Linked DNA regions of Macaca mulatta. The main gene of each other region encodes a partner of the protein of the gene in region 3 in a complex. Links are inferred from orthologs where the notes say so. Each region holds a gene or a part of one and is shown on either strand. Other genes may lie near its edges.

Region 1 (3,955 bases), on a different chromosome or scaffold from region 3:
AGACACACTATTTACCTATAATTGCAAACCAAAAAGAAAAGTGGCAAATGGCAGCTTAGACATTCTCTGGCTAAATGTTGTAGGTAGCATATAATAGAGTGTTAAAGCAGAAATGTGTCTTGCCTATAGACTGGACCTTTCTAGATATAAAGTAAGAGAAGTATCAAGGTTTTTTTTTTTTTTTTTTTTTTTTTTGAGACAGAGTCTGGCTCTGTCGCCAGGCTGGAGTGCAGTGGCGTGATCTTGGCTCACTGCAATCTCTGCCTCCCGGGTTCAAGCGATTCTTCTGCCTCAGCCTCCTGAGTAGCTGGGATTACAGGCGCCGCGTTCGGCTAATTTTTTTTAGTATTTTTAGTAGAGACGGGGTTTCACCATGTTGGCCAGGCTGGTCTCGATCTCCTGACCTCGTGATCCACTTGCCTCGGCATCCCAAAGTGCTGGGATTACAGGATTACAGGCGAGAGCCACGCACCGGGCCGAGATGTATCAAGTTTTTTTTTTTTTTTTTTTGGAACGGAGTCTTGCTCTGTCGCCCAGGCTGGAGTGCAGTGGCGCGATCTCCGCTCACTGCAAGCTCCGCCTCCTGGGTTCACGCCATTCTCCTGCCTCAGCCTCCCGAGTAGCTGGGACTACAGGCACCCGCCACCATGCCCGGCTAATTTCTTGTATTTTTAGTAGAGACGGGGTTTCACTGTGTTAGCCAGGATGGTCTCGATTTCCTGACCTCGTGATCTGCCCGCCTCGGCCTCCCAAAGTGCTGGGATTACAGGTGTGAGCCACCGTGCTCGGCCAATGTATCAAGTTTCATGTTTTAATTATATACAACTTTGTGAGAATGTTCAACAGTATCCCAACTGGGAACTGTTGGCTTAATGGATTTGAATTAAATAAATGTTTGTCTTTGAAGCAAAATAAGAAGTAAATATTTAAAATTTATCAAACAAGTTTAAGAGTCACTTATCAGTACTGCAGCTGAAACTCTATAGTCAAAACAGCAGGTTTAAGCCAGGGCAAAAAATTTGTCACACGAGGAGAAAACAGTTGCAATTTCACTCAGTTGATCAAATTAAAAAAATAGTAAGTTAATAAAAGTAACCAAGGACTGTGAAAAGTCACATGTCTATTTATAAGACTGCAACAAGCTTATCAAATGTGTAAAACTCTTTACTTAAATGTTGCACATTTTATCACCCAGGAAGCAACGCAATGCACACACTGTCTTAAACATACAAATGACAAAGAATGACAAAGAAATTCCCTTTTTATTTCAGTTACCAGAACTCACCTTTATTGTCAAGGAATACATAACCATCAAAGCGATCCCTGAACAAAATAATGTCCTCTTGGTTTTTAAAGTTGATGTATGCTCTGGCATACATATGAGGATACAAACTGCAGAGAGGAAAGCAATTATGTAAATGTATTTGCAGGTGTCTGGCCCAATTACAAGTATGCATATATTAAAGACAAGCTCAAAAATTAAATGGAAAACAGTAGGATAAAAAGAGTGAAAGAAACCTTTTTCATTTACCCCTTTCCTTTTTTTTTTTTTTTTTTTTTACCTCGTATCATTAGAAAAAAACTCAAAATAATCATGCTCAGGCATAGGTTGAAGATGTTCCTGAAGCTGCTCCTTGGTCAAAGTGGGAGGTAATCTTCGAATTACCACCTTAAGAAATGCATAAGGAAAATAAAATTAGTAAAAATCAATTTTCTCTCATACCTGAAAGAATCACAGTTCCTGAAGAAGACTGGGCTTTTTAAAATATGAGATCACTTGTAAAAACCCAGGAGAAAATATTCTGCAGCCCAATGCTCAGAAGTAGTCAAAGATAATAGTAACGCGGTTAAAAAAAAAAAAAAAACGCTTGGAAATGAGAACCACCTGGAGCAGGGAAAAATCTCAGGTTTTGCTCTTTACAGCAGCCCTGCAGTTTACCAGGTTTGTGCATCATTTTCGATCACCCATTTTTTAACAGATCTAGTGGCAAGAAATTAGTAAGCCAACCCTGGTCTTTGTGGGTGCCACGAAATCTTGATTTAGTAACAAGTTTCTCCCACGTCCAACACATCTTAAAACAAAATCCTTGCCCATTGAACTTAAGAATTCAAAACTCTAACGAATACAAAAAATCCACCCATTGCTCTCAAAATAGTATGCTCTCGATCTACCCTCCCGTACCATTAATCACCCTGAACTCTCCCCCAACTCGCCTCCATGAATAATATTGCCATCCCTCATGTCTCCTTCAGTATTTAATATTTCTCCCCAATTACACCTTTAGTTCCTCATTCTTTATACCGTCGCTCTCTCTTCCCATTATCACCTCACAGCTCTGACCTAAACCCTTCCCGTTTGGGGAGTCCCCCCTTTTCCTCACCCCTACCCAGGATTTGGCCGGGAGGGGCTCTCCCCATTTCGGGAGAAAGGATAAACCAGGATGGTGCGACTTCCATTCAGGCGAAGAGAAGAAGGGGAACCTGAGAGAGAAAGGGGCCGGCCCCATTCCCAGCCATCCTCCCCGCGCTGCGGACCCGTCCCGCCCTCTCCCGGGCCAGCGGCCGACCGGGCACCTTGCTCAGCGCTTCTTTCTTCTCCTTGTTGCGATCCTGCTTATCTTCCCCCTTGGAGCTGTCCCCCGAGGTCCCACCACCGCTGCCTGTGGCCCCGGCGGGGGTTAACAAGGTTACTCGCTTCTCCTTAGGCCTGTGCTCCTTCTCTTCCTTCATGGCTACGTCCCCCGCTGAAGCGGCTCGGCCGGAACGGGGCTACCCCGGGCACCAACGGCTCCAGGGAAGCTCCCGTCAAAGCTCCGCCCCCAACAAATGCCCCTTATGATAAGTCGGGCCCCACGTTCCACTGGGGCCTGCCAAGCTCTCGCGAGACTTGGGCCTTTCCCAGTGCAAAGGTTTTAACACCTGGTTTTTACTTCCCGCCCGCCAAGTTCCTGTGTCACCCAATCCCCTCGCGGCGCAGACTCCCTCTGGGCCCGCCCCTTCGCGCGTCATTAGCAACTCCGCCATCTTGAAGTGACTCTGTCGGGGACTACAAGTCCCGGCATGCAAAGCAGCTGCCCGCTTTTGTTGGGCGTTCAGGAGCCAGAGGTATCTCAGGGTCCCTGTTTGTAAGTAAATCGAATCCTTTCATCTTCAGAGTTTTTCAGGTCGAAAGATACGTTCTGCACGCTTAGTTTCCATCGGATAAACTCAATGCCGTCCAAATTTTGCCTCACTAGGGGAGCGACTTGTATATTTTGTCTTTGAATTCAGAGGCTTTAGAATTTATTTTCCTACAACTCAAAGAAAGAGCCTAACATTTAAAAAAATTTATTTTCCTTATATTGATTAGGATTTACAGATACTTAGTAAACACTACAATATTAGCCGAGTTCAGTGGCGCGCGCCTGTATTCCCAGCTGCTAGGGAAGGCTGAGAAGGGAGGATCTTGAGCCCAGGAATTCGAGGCTGCAGTGAGCCATGATCGCGCCACTGCACTCCAGCTTGGGCGACAGAGCGAGACCCTGTATCTAAAAAAGAAGGATAATAATAAATAAACACAAGATACTGATATTTAAAGGAGTAATATGGGCCGGGCGCGGTGGCTCAAGCCTGTAATCCCAGCACTTTGGGAGGCCGAGACGGGCGGATCACGAGGTCAGGAGATCGAGACCATCCTGGCTAACACGGTGAAACCCCGTCTCTACTAAAAAATACAAAAAACTAGCCGGGCGAGGTGGCGGGCACCTGTAGTCCCAGCTACTTGGGAGGCTGAGGCAGGAGAATGGCGTAAACCCGGGAGGCGGAGCTTGCAGTGAGCTGAGATCCGGCCACTGCACTCCAGCTCGGGTGACAGAGCGAGACTCCGTCTCAAAAAAAAAAAAAAAAAAGGAGTAATATGACCAAAATATACGAGATTTGTTTTCATCACCTTATTTTACAAAAGGATCATTCTCCC
Region 2 (4,317 bases), on a different chromosome or scaffold from region 3:
ATAGGGTCATTTTTACGGCCTATTTTCTTAAGCTACATCATGAACTAGAAAGAGAATCTGCACTAACATTCAAGTTTGTTATATGTATGTATTGGTGTTAAGTGCATTACACAGAGAATTTAATCTAATCTGTAAAACAATCCTAAAAATCAGGTTTTATTCTCTCACCTATTCATAAGAGAGAAAACAAAGTTAAGTAACTTAAACATGGGAGATTCAGACCTAGATCTACTTTCTTTTAATACTCAGGCTTTCTCCACTACAAAAAAATGTTCCTTTTTTTCCTTCAAATGTATGCATACAATTATATTGTAGACATTTTAGAATTATGACTAAGAAGGATACAAACGATGCTTCTGGATCGAAGTTGATGAGTTTGTTAGCTAGTTTATATTTAATTTTAATCCATCATGATTTGTGTATTATCTGATGTATGCTTCCCCTTATGGCTAGTCAGTTGCCCAGACACAGCTATAATGTGCAGCAGTTACTCTAAAATGATAGAAATGCCAGTCTTTGATGGCTTGGCACCAGGCGTAGTGGCTCACGCCTGTAATCCCAGCACTTCGGGAGGCCGAGACAGGTGGACTACCTGAGGTTAGCAGTTCGAGACCAGTCTGGCCAACATGGAGAAACCCCATCTCTACTAAAAATACGAAAAAGTAGCCGGGCATGGTGGCACATGCCTCCAATCCCAGCTTCTCGGGAGGCTGAGGCAGGAGAACCGCTTCAATCCAGGAGGCAGAGGTTGCAGTGAGCTGAGATCGCACCACTGCACTGCAGCCTGGGTGACAGAGCAACACTCTGTCTCAAAAAAAAGAAAGAAAGAAAAGAAAGAAAAAAAGAAAAGAAAAAGAAAAAGAAAGAGAAAGAAAGAAAGAAAGAAAGAAAGAAAGAAAGAAAGAAAGAAAGAAAGAAAGAAGGAAAGAAAGAAAAAGAAAGAAAGAAAGAAAGAGAAAGAAAGAGGAAGGAAGGAAGGAAGGAAGGAAGGAAGGAAGGAAGGAAGGAAGGAAGGAAGGAAGGAAGGAAGGCAGGCAGGCAGGCAGGCAGGCAGGTCTTCGGGAGACTCAATATTACCAATAGAAGAAGTATGTGTAACAGTGCAGTGGCAGATACATTGATTAGAACCACTGTTCTAGCATAAAACTTCCCTGATAATATTCAGGTGCTTAATTTATGTGACCTGCTAAAAGTAATAGAGACAAGCTTGACGGTGTTCACAGGCAGAGGAACTGAAAATAATACTACATAAAGAATAGATGAATTCAGGTAAATTTAGCTGAATTTATGGGGAGAGTAAGGTCGAATACAGTGATTAAGGTTTCTAAATAATTGCAGGGCTGGCACGGTGGCTCATGCGTGTAATCCCAGGACTTCGGGCGGCTGAGGCTGGTGAATCTCTTGACCTTAGGGGTTTGAGGACAGCCTGGGCAACATGCGGAAACCCATCTCTACAACAACAACAACAACAACAAAGGAGATGGGCGAGGTGGCACTGGCCTGTATTTCCAGCACCTCGGGAGGCTGAGGTGAAGGATCACTTGAGCTTGGGAGGCGGAGGTTGCAGTGAGCTGAGATCGTGCCACTGCACTCAGATCTGAGTGACAGAGTGAGACTCTGTTTCAAAGTAATAATTGCAGGACTGTAGTTCACGTGAGTTCTGCCTGAAATGCTTGATACTCTTCTCCTTTCCTAATATACGTTTCTCCTCTAATTTTTTATTCTTGCTCTCACAGAACATTGTCCAAAGCCTGCTTATTAATATACCTACTGCTTTATAGTTAAATGTCTGTGTCCCCACCAAGACAAATCTCTTTGAGTTAAATTTGTCTTACTCATTAGTGTACCTTCAAATTTTGTATTTGCTTGTTGCCCAGCAAAAAACGTGCATTTAAAAAAAACCAAAACATATATATCCAAATGAACTTTCTTGTTGCAGGTAGGCAGGACCAATGTAACATTCTCTAATAGCGCTGTCAGAAAACAAATTGTTGCACGCTACTGGGGTAGCAGTTTCACCTCGTCCTCTGCTCTCACTGCTCTGGAAGTCTGTTTTTTTCTCTCAAAGGCCAAGTCTCTCATTTCGAGACTCATCTCAAGAGTGTCTTCCTCTAGGAAGATTTTCCTGACTCCCTCCTGTGGAACTTTACATCTCCCCTCTTTTTTGGTACTCTTCATGCGTCCTGTGGTGAACAATTATACGTAGACACCTAAAACATATTATTATTCTCATTTGTTAACACGTCGGGCTCCTCCCCTTCAAAGAACACACACAGCCTGAATGAAGAAAAGGTACTGGTCACCACAAGATTTTATTCATCCATTGGACCACCCGCTGATGGGGGTGTTTTCAAAAAAGTGCTAGCATTTTTAATCCAGGTCAACAATCTACAGAGTCCCTTCTGGTGCAGTTACAGAATTCTGATTACTGTAAGTTCGACTTTTCAGTTTGCGACAGGATTAGCTTTAATTTATTGCAATTAGTTCTCTTTCATTTATAAAACCAACTTAGGCCTCCTCTATTCTTAAGCTCCTATTTCCTTCGAGGGAAGCAGTGGCCTCCGCCCCCTGTACCCTCCACACCACCCGGCCTCCCCTCGCCTCCTCCACGGCCTCTCGGTCTCGCTCCCCTTTCCCAGCACCGCGTGCCGTGGGCCTCTTCTCACCGTCCGGCCGAAATTCGAACTCCAGAAACTCGTGCCCAAACTTGCCCTTGTGCCCTACGTAGTAGCGCAGGTAGAAATCGCTAGCCATAGCCATTTTTGTCCCCGAGAAGCCCGCCGAAAACCCAGCCAACGTGTCCCCCGGCGCCTTGTAGTCACGTCATCGCGCGGAATAAGTGCGTCACCACAGGCGCTTCTCTTCCGCCTGCCGTGCAGTCCTGGACTAAAGCATGAAAGCCGAGTCTCGCGTGAGAGGCCAGTTGGTGCTGAAGGGAGAGTCGCATGCCGTGACTTTCTCTTTACTAGGATTGGAGGCACATTATTTTCAAAATAAAGATTACATTATATTAGCAAATATTAGAAATGTGAGCATATGATAGTATTTTTTATCGACTTAGAGCTAAATTAGGTTTGCAAGTGGCTTTTACTTTTCTGGTCTCCCAGTCCTCGGGGCGTTTGTGAGGTGGGTGTGGCTCTATTCCCCCTTTAACTGGGAGCTAAATAAAGATAAAGCTTAGAATAGAGATGGCAGACCGGGAATATAAACCATTTTTCTTACTTGATTTCTAACAGGGTGCTTTCCCCTTTGAATAACGATTGGTAGTTGCCCCGGACCTATAAGCCTATAATAATAGAGACAAAGTCAAAGGAATCCATCACAGCAAAGAACTTAAGAGATCTCATTTGATCTCTCAAGAATTCTGTGAGCTTGGCAATGTAGATTGCTGTATATGCCTTAGGCTGAAGAACAAACAGGCTTAGAGATAGTCACTAGCCCGAGGTTAGGTAGCTGTAAGTGTTGGGATTGAATCCCAGGTCTTCTCACCACCACTTTCTACTAAAAATCACTGACGGTGATTTCAGTGGGACAAAACTGGCTTAAAGTCTTAAAACACACACCCCCTACGCCTGAAAAACCCTGACTGTCACCGTGCTGTTTTTTAACAGCAGAACTTCTATGGTTCTTAATTCATTCAGTAAGGGTTAACTTTTAGTAGCCTGTGGAGTTTTGGCAATTTGACTTAAGATACAACAATGGTTTAGCCCATTACTGTTTCTCGCCAGATATAATTAAATTGGAGGAATGAAAGAATGCTCCATTGTGGCATAGTTTTTAAGGTAAGGGAAAGACTTTTACACAAAGTCTGCTTTTTAAATATTATTGATCACCCTTTTGTTATCAACACAGAGAGTAATCCTCTCTGCTGGTTGACAACCTTCAGTGATTTTTGTAGAAAGTGGTGGTGAGAAGACCTGGGATTCAATCCCAACACTTACAGCTACCTAACCTCGGGCAAGTGACTCTCTAAGCCTGTTTATTCATCAGCCTAAGGCATATACAGCAATCTACATTGCCAAGCTCACAGAATTCTTGAGAGATCAAATGAGATATGTAAAATAAGCTTTAAATTTTATAAAACGTTAGTTTTAACAAACATTTCCTATGTGACAGTTTGAAACTAGAAATAAAAAGGCATTTGCACTGGTAGTCTAGAAAAGAAAGCAAACTTGTAAGGCAAATATCGGCACAATGGAGCAATTGCTATAATTAAGAATATATGTGCCATTCTGGCCAACATGGTGAAACCCCGTCTCTACTATAAATACCAAAAACTTAGCTGGGCGTGGTGGCGTGTGCCTGTAGTCCCAGTTG
Region 3 (3,884 bases):
TACTGCAACCTCCACCTCTTGGGTTCAAGCAATTCTCCTGCCTCAGCCTCCCGAGTAGCTGGGATTACAGCGCCTGCCACCACGCCCCGCTAATTTTTGTGTTTCTAGTAGAGACGGGGTTTCACCATGTTGGCCAAGCTGGTCTCAAACTCCTGACCTCAACCGATCCACCTGCCTCAGCCTCCGAAAGTGCTGGGATTACAGGCATGAGCCACCGCACCCAGCGTTCAGTTTCTTTAATGGTGTTTCTTTCCTGTGTTGTGGTACTTCATAGGTGGCAATACCTGCTTTTCACTCTTGCATAAAGAAGCTGTATTCTACTCCTTATCACCCCACCTCTGTCCTGCTTAACTTCCACCACATTGACATAATCAAGTATCTGTAGTGTCGCTACTGAACTCAGCCTTTTCCAATTGTCAGCTGATGTTAAGAATTAGAGAAAGCTGGGCAGTACTTTGAAGAAATAAAAACCAGAGCAAAATAATGACGAATTAAGGCAAAAATGAATAGTCACTTTATTTTGAAGGGTGGGCAGATCAGATATTTTTAAAATTATAAATTCCCCAGTACTCTTGTGGATGAATAATATTTCCTGTTCATCATAGGTTGGATGAATTCATTCCTAACTTTTTCTTCTCCTGGCTTGTGGGGTCCAGGCCCCATCACAGGTATATGGAGGAGTGACCTACTATAACCCCGCCCAGCAGCAGGTGCAACCAAAGCCCTCCCCACCACGGAGGACTCCCCAGCCAGTCACCATCAAGCCCCCTCCACCTGAGGTATGAGAGCTCCTTCCCATACTTAGTGCACATGCTCCGTCAGTGGGCTTTCCTTCTCCCCAGAGGATTTCCCTCATTTTTCTGGGTGTGTTTCTCTGGAAAACAGTCTTTGGTATGACCTGATAACAAATTCCAACTTTATTATTTCAGGTTGTAAGCAGGGGTTCCAGTTAATATGAGTTTCTGAATATTTTAAATCTTAACATCATATAAAAGTAAGTGCACAACTTACTGTGAATATTCTTAAAACTAATGCTTACACTTGCTTAACAAACAAAAATCACTAATTAATGCTTTTTTTTTTTTTTTTTTGAGATGGAGTCTCAGTCCGTTACCCAGGCTGGAGTGCAGTGGCACAATCTCAGCTCACTGCAACCTCCATCTCCTGAGTTCAAGCATTGCTCTTGCCTCAGCCTCCTGAGTAGCTAGGATTATAGGCATGCACGACCACACCTGACTAGTTTTTGTATTTTTAGTAGAAATGGGGTTTCACCATATTGGCCAGGCTGATCTTGAACTCCTAACCTCAGGTGATCTTCCTGCCTTGGCCTCCCAAAGTGCTGGACTTACAGGCGTGAGCCACCCCGCCTGGCTTCTAATTAATGCTTTAAATTATAATAATCATGGGATATCTCAGGAGGCTTAAAGGAGTCCTGAAATTTGCCAGTTTGTTTGTGTGGCAAGTGTATGGGGCAGGGTTGAAGTAGAAACGACTGTTACATGACAATTTTCAATTTAGAAGCTACAAGGAAAAAATACAGGAAGGCAGTAAAGGAAAAGGGAAATCTAAATTTGAGATGTTATAGCAGAAAAAACCAGTTCTAAAGATCATAGAGGAGAAAGACTGGGGGTTTTGTTGCTTTTATTTTGTTTAAGGACATTACTTAATACACATTATCTAGAAATGTGGCTTTTTGTAAACAGCTTGTAAATGCCCAGACGGCCCACTAACACTTTGGTGGTTCTTCCCTTTTTCCAACCCCTGTCAGAACGGCAGAGGTGAGAACTCAGGGGAGAAGAGAAATACAGCTGGCTATCTACTACCAGAAGGGCTTCAAAGATATAGGTTATGGCTTCTACCAGCAAACAGCTGAAAGAGGAGGACCCCTGCCTTCCTCTAAGGACAGGCTCTGGAGAGAGGGAGAAACAAGTGGACCTCGTCCCATCTTCACTCTTCACTTGAGTTGGCTGTGTTCGGGGGAGCAGAGCCAGACAGCCCCAAGCTTCTGAGTCTAGATCCAGAAGCCCATGTCTTCTGCTGTTCACTTTCTTCTGGGAAATTGAAGTGTCTTCTGTTCTCAAGGAAGCTCCTTCCTGTTTGTTTTGTTTTCTAAGATGTTCATTTTTAAAGCCTGGCTTCTTATCCTTAATATTATTTTGGTTTTTTCTCTTTGTCTCTGTTTCTTGCTCTCCCTGCCTTTAAATGAAACAAGTCCATTCTTCTGGTTTGCTGGCCCCTCTGGATTCCCTTTTGACTCTTCCCTGCATCCCAGATAATGGAGAATGTATCAGCTAGCCTTCCTCACCAAGGCTAAAAAGACCTGGCCTTTCACTTTTAGTTGGCGTTTGTTATCCTCTTGTATACTTGTATTCCCTTAACTCTAACCCTGTGGAAGCATGGCTGTCTGCACAGAGGGTCCTATTGTGCAGAAAAGCTCAGAATAGGTGGGTAGGAGTCCTTCTCTTTGACTTAGGTTTTTAGGAGTCTGAGCATCCATCAGTACCTGTACTATGGTGGACTTCTGTTCTCTGCTGAGGGCAAATACCCTACTGTGGGGAGAGATGGCAAACCAGATGCTTTTGTGAGAAAGGGATGGTGGAGTGAGAGCCTTTGCCCTTAGGGGTGTGTATTCACATAGTCCTCGGGGCGCAGTCTTTTGAGGTAAGTGGAATTAGAGGGCCTTGCTTCTCTTCTTTCCATTCTTCTTGCTACACTCCCTTTCCAGTTGCTGTGGACCAATGCATCTCTTTAAAGGCAAATATCATCCAGCAAGCAGTCTACCCCATCCTTTGCAATTGCTCTTCTCCACGTCTTCTCTGCTACAAGTGTTTTAGATGTTACTACCTTATTTTCCCCGAATTCTACTTTTGTCCTTGCAAACAGAAGATACTACACCTGGGCTTAAGGCCTAAGGAAGCCAGTCACCTTCTGGGCAAGGGCTCCTATCTTTCCTTGCTATCCATGGCACTAAACCACTTCTCTGCTGCCTCTGCGGAAGAGATTCCTATTACTGCAGTACTTCTGTCCGCCAGGGGTAACTTGGCCACTGTCCCTGTCCTTCTACAGAACCTGAGGGCGAAGATGGTGGCTGTGTCTCTCCCCGGTAATGTCACTGTCTGTTTTTATTCCTTCCCTCTAGCAGCTGGCCTAACCACTCGAGTCACAGGTGTGGCGTGGAGAGGGGGAAGGGGCATTTAATCTGTAACCCCCAAGGAGGAAATAACTAAGAGATTCTTCCAGGGGTAGCTGGTGGTTGTGCCTTTTGTAGGCTGTTCCCTTTGCCTTAAACCTGAAGATGTCTCCTCAAGCCTGTGGGCAGCATGCCCAGATTCCCAGACCTTAAGACACTGTGAGAGTTGTCTCTGTTGGTCCACTGTGTTTAGTTGCAAGGATTTTTCCATGTGTGGTGGTGTTTTTTGTTACTGTTTTAAAGGGTGCCCATTTGTGATCAGCATTGTGACTTGGAGATAATAAAATTTAGACTGTAAACTTGGCTCTCTTGCCAATGTTTTGCATGAGTCTTGATTTGGGAGGGAGGGAAGAGGACTCCCTAATTCCCCCACAGGGTCACGGTCACAACTCAGGTCAGCCCAGACTTGTGAAACAGAAGCCCAGAGAGATGAGGAGCCCCTTTGAGGCCATAAATGTGTCTGCACTCCCCATCAGTTATCTTTTTTAACCACATAGATTACCAGGATATCATGCCATCCCTTAGATTGGAAGTGTCAGGGACAGAGAAGCAGAGAGATGCTGCTTATTCACATGAGCATCTAGTATTCTTTATGGCTTCCTTTGTGTTTGGCAAGTAAGTTTCCCAAGGTAATATGCCATCAGATGTCAGTATAACTATACCAAGTCCTGGGCTGGGGGAAGTATTGGTATAG

Evidence for each region. Proteins that work in one complex are often made in the same cells at the same time.
Region 1: CASC3 (region 3) and UPF3B share a complex: the UniProt entries of both Homo sapiens proteins name them as parts of the mRNA splicing-dependent exon junction complex. The link is inferred for Macaca mulatta from reciprocal best matches to the Homo sapiens genes CASC3 and UPF3B.
Region 2: CASC3 (region 3) and MAGOHB share a complex: the UniProt entries of both Homo sapiens proteins name them as parts of the mRNA splicing-dependent exon junction complex. The link is inferred for Macaca mulatta from reciprocal best matches to the Homo sapiens genes CASC3 and MAGOHB.

What each region holds. Positions count from the first base shown.
Region 1 is NC_133426.1:126,336,589-126,340,543, forward strand, and holds the start of UPF3B (regulator of nonsense transcripts 3B), read right to left. Parts: upstream 2,811-3,955; 5' UTR 2,731-2,810; coding exon 2,575-2,730; intron 1,670-2,574; coding exon 1,563-1,669; intron 1,393-1,562; coding exon 1,286-1,392; intron 1-1,285. UniProt on the Homo sapiens protein: Involved in nonsense-mediated decay (NMD) of mRNAs containing premature stop codons by associating with the nuclear exon junction complex (EJC) and serving as link between the EJC core and NMD machinery.
Region 2 is NC_133416.1:9,993,891-9,998,207, reverse strand, and holds the start of MAGOHB (protein mago nashi homolog 2), read right to left. Parts: upstream 2,811-4,317; 5' UTR 2,761-2,810; coding exon 2,667-2,760; intron 1-2,666. UniProt on the Homo sapiens protein: Required for pre-mRNA splicing as component of the spliceosome. Plays a redundant role with MAGOH in the exon junction complex and in the nonsense-mediated decay (NMD) pathway.
Region 3 is NC_133421.1:64,543,603-64,547,486, forward strand, and holds the end of CASC3 (protein CASC3), read left to right. Parts: intron 1-656; coding exon 657-779; intron 780-929; coding exon 930-953; 3' UTR 954-994; intron 995-1,094; exon of another isoform or gene 1,095-1,768; 3' UTR 1,769-3,381; downstream 3,382-3,884. UniProt on the Homo sapiens protein: Required for pre-mRNA splicing as component of the spliceosome. Core component of the splicing-dependent multiprotein exon junction complex (EJC) deposited at splice junctions on mRNAs.